2 linked regions of the Macaca mulatta genome follow. The protein of the gene in region 1 purifies or fractionates together with the protein of each later gene. This does not show direct contact. Links are inferred from orthologs where the notes say so. Each region holds a gene or a part of one and is shown on either strand. Other genes may lie near its edges.

Region 1 (3,647 bases):
GAAAAATGCAAATACAGGGAGTTACCGATGTTGGTGGTGGTTGTTCTTTACTTTTGTAATCTGTGCTATTGGAAAGTGAGAGGCAGTGAGCACCCTATTGCTGGAAGTGTGCAAACAGCATCTGACCTTACTGATGAATTGGTAAGAACATGGTATGTGATATTCAAGGGGAGGTGGTTCATGAGACCACTCTGGTCTGGAGGTTGCAGAACTCCAGGATCTGTCGTTAGGCCCTGGGAGGGGAGCTGGTGCTCTGAGGTGCCTGGCAGAAGCTTCTGGGAGCTTGGGGCTAGAGGAGGACAAAGGGTAATGCTGTCTGATGGAAGGGCCAGGGTTCACACAGAAGCTTGAACCACACCAGCATGGCTGACTTAGGCCTCTGGAGTACAGGGAGATAAGGTGGGCCTGGTCTCATCCTTGGGGGTGTAGCCTGGGCAGGACTGTGGCTTAAGCTCTGGGTGCAGTGGAGCATGTGAAGGTATGCCACAGGCGCTTGAGAAAGAGTCCTGGGCAAAGCTCATGGGATTTGAGAAGAATCCCGGTCCTAAACAGGCAACAGAGATATAGGGAGCCAGGGGACCAGTGCTTGCACCTTTCCTCAGCCTCTTATGAATCATGAGAATTTCGGGAAACTGCTTCAACTCTAAGGCTTGATTCCCGATCTGTCAAACGGGGCAACACTCCCTGGCCTTCTCACAGTTACCAGGCACCCTTTCTTAGGCAGGGGACTGTGGCAAGTACTTCGTGTGCTGGCTCCAGTGCAGAGGCAGGAGGGAGGCACTAGTACTAACCCCATTTTATGGTTGAAACATTGAGCCTCACATAGGAGAAAGGCGTCTGCCCAGGACCACGGAGCTGTTAGGTGGTAGAGCCGGGCTTCGCCCCAACACTCTGAAGCCTGTATGTTTAACTGTGCACTGCTGCCTGCCTCACAGGGCTCAGACGAATGTCACAATAGAGGAAAGAGCTCTGGAAGCTGTGAGATGCTGTTTAAATATGACGAGATTTTTCCCTATGGGAAAGACCTGCCCTCTCCCGCAAGGCCTGCCAGCCCAGCTCTGACCCTGCAGCGACTGCAAAGAGAAGGCATGGCGTACCTGGGTCAGTGGCAGCTCTTCCTCACTGCTCTCCGAGGACCCCTCCGTGTTCCCCTCTGGAGGTGCTGGGGCCAGGGTCTTGCTTCTGGCAGGTTTGGAGTTACTGTCCTTCTGAGGGGACAAGACCTGGATAAGCACGTGGTCGGGGAGAGGGGCATTTGCTGAGGGGGAAAGAGCCAGCAGGCAATGATCCTCAGGCACTCTGGTTTCCAGGGGAGGCACCGTGGCCCCTTCCTGCACATGCACAGGAATAGCTGCTGCTCTGACCTGCCCCACAGCCACCGGAAACATGCTTCCACCCTGCTAGCTCCTTCCAGAGCTAACTTCAAACGTGAAAGGGATTTATGACTCCGATACAGCTAAAACCTGAGGGCTGCAGGGCTGTTGGCCCAGGGTCTGGACAAGAGGTGACAGCAGCCTGGGACAAAGTTGCAGGCACAAGCCAGTGGTCCCAGCACAGTTCACCTCTGGTTGTAACATCCCCAGCCAAAAGCAGGAGCTGCCTAGAAGTGTTCCACTGGCTACCATACCCTCCTGCTGGGGCAGGCATGATAATGGGGGCTGGACTGGTGAACACTGCAGTCAGAGGACGACTCAAGAGATCCGGGTGGAAATGCTGGTGGTGATGGCAGCTCAGTGGTCCCTACTGGAATGGGGGACCCCTTTTCCCTACTCAGCCTAGCCAAGAAAGTAGGACCCAGGCTGCCTGAGCTTCCAATTTCTCAAGAGAAGCTGGAAGATCTGCACGTCATTTCCGATTTTTAAATGGGGCAACTACAATGCACACTGCTGGCTGCCTCCTAACAGCCATGCCCCCATCTGTTACTTGCTAACAGAACCCTCACTGTTCAGTGGCTCCTACCACATGCTTCAGGGAGGGTGGTCCCTCCTCCCAGCCAGTCATGTGAACTACTGGCTTCTTGTCTATGGCTAAGAGGGTAGCTAGCACGTCCAGCCTGAGGTCTGAGTAGCCTTAAGTCTACTCCTCAGTCTTTTTTGAGATGGACTCTTGCTCTGCTCACTCTGTCGCCCAGGCTGGAGTGCAGTGGCACAATCTTACTCACTGCAACACCTCCTCCTCCCCGGGTTCAAGTGATTCTCTTGCCTCAGCTGGGATTACAGGCCAGTGCCACCAGGCCCAGCTAATTTTTGTATTTTTAGTAGAGACAGGTTTCGCCATGTTGGCCAGGCTGGTCTTGAACTCCTGACCTCCAGTGATCCGCCTGTCTCAGCCTCCCAAAGTGCTGGGATTACAGGTGTGAGCCACTGCACCTGGCCTGCCCCCAGCACTTTAGGAGATGCTGCAGCCCTGCTATGACCATAAAGCTGATGGAGCACAGAGATGGAAATCTGGTCACCACTGATGCTTAGCTGAAGGAACCAGCTTTTCAGCAGCTGGAACCTGGGACTCTGTGCACTGTAAGAGTCAATCCCCTTAGTGAAGCTCTTTTGAATGGGGCTTTCTCCTGCAACTTAGGCCATTCTGATGGAGAGAGGAACTCGTTGAAAACTTAAAAACAAAAATACTACACAGGCCAAAATATGGCTGAGGCCTATGCTTTAGTTTGTCATTTAGGTCCTCCATAAATCTACCAGTAACAAGCACCTGGGAGGGCCTACGGCTTGTAGGACAGCAGCCTTCAGTGACCATGCACGTTCATGCCCAGCCCGTCTGCACCCACTGAGGGGCCCTGTCCACTTTTGTGCCTGGTCATCCTTCAGCTCCATCACCCGCTCCTCTTCTGGCCTCTCAGAGACCTGCTCTTTCAGCTGTCAGCACCACCAGCATACTCTGCGATAATCCGGCCACCTGTCTTGCCCCACAGACTGTGAGCTCCTTGAGGGCAGGGCCAAATGTCTTTCGCCCCCAGTAATGGTTTGTTATATCAAAGGCAGAGGTTAGGGATAGGGAGCATTCATCTCAGTGCTTGTTTTACTCATGAAGAAAACAAATCTAAGAGAGGTTATGCAGCTTGGCCTGGCACAGGGACTTCCAGCTTCCCTTAAGAAATGGAAGATCTGGCCACAAAGAAGGTCCATTTCCATAGTCATGACTGGCTGAAGCTGATAGGAACTGTCCTTATGGATGGGGCAAGGGCTCCCCGGTCTGTCCTACTTGCTACCATTATCTACCATCTCTCCTGACATCTATTTTTTTTTTTTTTTTTTTGAGACAGAGTCTCACTCTGTTGCCCAGACTGGAGTGCAATGGCACGATCTTGGCTCACTGCAACCTCCGCTTTCCAGGTTCAAGCAATTCTTCTGCCTCGGCCTCCCGAGTACCTGGAACTACAGGCACCCGCCATCATGCCTGGCTAATTTTTGTATTTTTTTTTTTTTTTTTTTTTTTTAGTAGAGACAGGGTTTCACCATGTTGGCCAGGCTGGTCTTGGACTTCTGACCTCATGATCTGCCCGCCTTGGCCTCCCAAGCTACTGGGATTACAGGCTTGAGCCACTGTGCCCGGCTGACATCTATCATTTCTGCCAGGCCTGCATCAGTCACGTCCATCACACACCTGTGCCCTGGCAGTGCTAGAGTCTGTCATCC
Region 2 (3,647 bases), on another chromosome or scaffold:
TTCATTTGGGTCCTGGTACCCAGCAGGAGGCTGAAACAGGGACTACATTTTCACCTCCTGCTTCCCTATGTCACCAAATAGGTAACAATGTCACTTCCCGCCTCCCTATGTCACCTTACACAAATAGTGTCCCTCTGTCATCTCTTTTGGTGACACAGGACACTGTGTAAGCTCTTTAAGGACAGAAATTTGTGTCTAAGGTGTTCACAACTGTACTCTCAGCACCTATAACTGTGCGTGCCATATAATAAACACATGCCAGATATCTATTATGTAAAACTACGCAGAGGGGACAGGGGTCCCAAGAAGAAATGGGGTTTGGGGAGGCGTCGGGGTTCAGGGAGGAGGTGTGGATTCAGTCAGGGGGATGCAAGCCAGTGAAGGGGACAAGCCCAGGGAGGGGAGAAGGGCCATGGATGAGACTGGCTCCACGAAGGTTACAGGGGATCAGGGAGCAAATGAGGATCTGGTGAGGGAGGGAGACTCAGTGAGGCCGTCTCTGAGGCATGCTGGGAATGCTGCATCTCCATTGCTCAGATAAGCTGCTTCCATTGCCTGGAATGGAGGAGCCAGGGTCAAACTCCCAGCTCTCCTCTTGCTAACTATGTGGCCTTGGGTACATTAACCTCTCTGCCTCCATTCCCTCATCTGTAAAGGGTGATGATAGAAGGACCTATCTCTTTTTTTGCTTTTTAAATTTTATTTATTTATTTATTTTGAGGTGGAGTCTCACTCTGTTGCCCGAGCTGGAGTGCAGTGGCGCGATCTCAGCTCACTACAACCTCTGCCTTCCAGGTTCAAGCAATTCTCCTGCCTCAGTCTTCCGAGCAACTGGGATTACAGGCATGTGCCACCACACCTGCCTAATTTTTGTATTTTCAGTAGAGATGGGGTTTCACCATGTTGGCCAGGCTGGTCTGGAACTCCTGGCCTCAAGTGATCTGCCCGCCTCGGCCTCCCAAAGCTCTGGGATTACAGGCGTGAGCCACCGCGCCTAGCCAGGACCTAATTCTTAGAGCTGCTATGAGGATTAAATTAGTTCGTACAGCCCAGCACTGTGAATGGTGCCTGACACCTAATCAGCCCTTGATAAATGATAGTTTCTATATCATTATTATTAGTAACTCCTTGGTGTGGATTTTAAATGTCCCATTGGTGGTAGGGTGAGAGGGGTGGCTCTCAATGTCACCTCCTCTTTCTTGTGCTTGCTAAGCCTCCTCCCACATCCCACAGCACCCTTCCTTTTCCCTTGTCTCAGGTCTTAAGAGGAAAAGGGAGACAGAGAAGCAAGGGAGAAAAGTCCCATCTCCCCACACACAGGCAGGGCTGCAGATGCAAATGTATGCAATACACCCTATAGCCACCAGGTGGCAAACTCAGCCCATGCCCTAAAAAGGCTGCTGTGCCCTCAGCCAACCTCCTCTGGGAACAGTGCCTCTGGATGCAGGAACATCAGCGTTGAGGGCCCACCAGCTCTTCCAGGAGGCAGGCAGAGCACAGCCTGACCCAGGAGGGGCAGGCCTGAGACATCCGGGCCAGCTGTTTCTGGCTGCCAGCCTGGGCTCTCTGTCTGCCCAGGCTGTGCTTCTCCAGAGAATGCTTCCCCTCTCGGATGTGGGCCGAGCTCCCTGTCACTCTGCCCTGGATGGGTTCACTATCTCCACTTCCTCCTCACTTAGAAGCTGCCATTGACACACACTCAACCCCTGCTGAACTCCTCCCAAGAGGAAAACTGGAAAATGGGGATGGTCAGGAAACAGCCTGCTCACGGTTTAACACAATCTGAATTTAGGATTTTTCCAAAACAAATTAAAAAGACATGCAGTCTGGAGGGGATGAAATGAGAGGCAGGGAGATGAGGGAGGAAGCTTCCACAACGGTGCGAAGGAGAAGATGCGGCAGCCTGAACCTGGGCAGTCAAAGCCACCTCCCCCAGGAAGCCCTCCGTGACCTCCCAGCTTCCAGAGTGTCCTTCCAAGGCTGGAATGTGCGCCCCTCCTCACACACTTCCAGGTATTGTTACTTATCTCCTCTTGGACTTTGCCCATCCTGTCTCCCTCCCTCACCCAGCAGGCAGCCCACACCCTGGCATCCTACTCACCGCTTGTGGATCTTCTCCTCCAAATTCTCCGCACAGAAGGCTTTGACTTCATAGTCCACACCGCAAGCCTGTGGGGAAGGGGTCACTGACCACAGGGCCTTGGAGAAGCAGGGTCCCCAGTACACAGCCAGCCTACCTCTCATTTTACAAGCGAGGACACTGAGCCGGGCGCGGTGGCTCACGCCTGTAATCCCAGCACTTTGGGAGGCCGAGGCGGGCGGATCACAAGGTCAGGAGATCGAGACCACGGTGAAACCCCGTCTCTACTAAAAATACAAAAAATTAGCCGGGCGCGGTTGTGGGCGCCTGTAGTCCCAGCTACTCGGGAGGCTGAGGCAGGAGAATGGCGTGAACCCGGGAGGCGGAGCTTGCAGTGAGCTGAGATCCGGCCACTGCACTCCAGCCTGGGCGACAGAGCGAGACTCCGTCTCAAAAAAAAAAAAAAAAAAAAAAACAAAAAAAAAAAAAAACAAGCGAGGACACTGGACAGGAACACCAAGCTCCCACAGCCCAGCCCTCCTCGGTCTGGAAGAAGCAGGGGAACGCCCTTGTGCTCAGCCCCAGTGCTGTGCTGCCTCCTCCATCTGACATGGGACATCCCAAATCATCCAAACAGGGCTCTGCTCTTTGGACTCCTGCCTCAGTCTGGGTGGCCATCCTCATCTAGGCAGCTGCCCAGAAATAGCAACAGGTACCTGAGCGGACTGGGGGCACCCACTACTACTGTGTGCAGACCTGGCCCTGGGTGGCTTCTCCGGTATCCCTCTAATAAGACAAGGAGGCACGTGCTGTCATCTCCATCTTGCAGATGAGGAAGCTGGGCTCAAAGGTCTGCAGCTAGTGGTGTCACTTCTATCCAAGCCTCAGTTTCCCCATCTGTGACATGGGGATGATCACACCTTGATTCAAGGTTGCCAGGGGTTACGTGAGGCCAGGTGTAGGTCCTCAGAACACTTTGGTCCTGTTGCAACCAACGCCACTCAGGAGGGCCTCTGGATCCATCACTTAATGGGAGAGTGAGGCTGACCCCATACCTGCTGCCCTGTCTAAAGAGAGACTGGTTGTCCAAGGTGGGACCAGCTTAGCCTAACACTGTTCAACAGGGAGAGTGGTTCTGTGTGTCCAGCACCTCCCAGGGAGAAAGCCAGGGACCTGGGGACCTGAGAGTCCTGGAGCCAGAGAGATGGTCCCCTTGGGGTAACCTACCTTCCCTGTGTCTTCGGGCCCCGGCTGCAGTGTCACAGAGCATGGAAGGTTTGGAGGGATCTGTCAAGAAGACAGAACGAGCCATCTATCACATCCACCACTGTCCTGTCTCATGTCTTGCAGCCCAGACACGCCCATACACCTATCAGACCAAGGGCCCCAGGGGACAGGCCATGTCTACCCCATCAGACCATGCCAACCCATGCCCCGCAAGTGTCTGAGTTTTCTTTATCTAAAGAGTTTGGCCTAGCCCAGTTCTCACAGCAATGGTTTAAATAGATCTTTCTATGATGTCTACTGTAGTTGGCAGAATAATGGTCCCCCAAAGATGTCCACACCC

What was found. Proteins that work in one complex are often made in the same cells at the same time.
Region 2: the proteins of TCOF1 (region 1) and ARRB1 purify together in Homo sapiens (affinity purification with western blotting; 5 studies listed by BioGRID and IntAct, with this or other methods). This does not show direct contact. The link is inferred for Macaca mulatta from reciprocal best matches to the Homo sapiens genes TCOF1 and ARRB1.

Annotation. Positions count from the first base shown.
Region 1 is NC_133411.1:159,346,612-159,350,258, reverse strand, and holds part of TCOF1 (treacle protein), read right to left. Parts: intron 1,209-3,647; coding exon 1,098-1,208; intron 1-1,097.
Region 2 is NC_133419.1:75,669,906-75,673,552, forward strand, and holds part of ARRB1 (beta-arrestin-1), read right to left. Parts: intron 3,368-3,647; coding exon 3,308-3,367; intron 2,170-3,307; coding exon 2,102-2,169; intron 1-2,101. UniProt on the Homo sapiens protein: Functions in regulating agonist-mediated G-protein coupled receptor (GPCR) signaling by mediating both receptor desensitization and resensitization processes.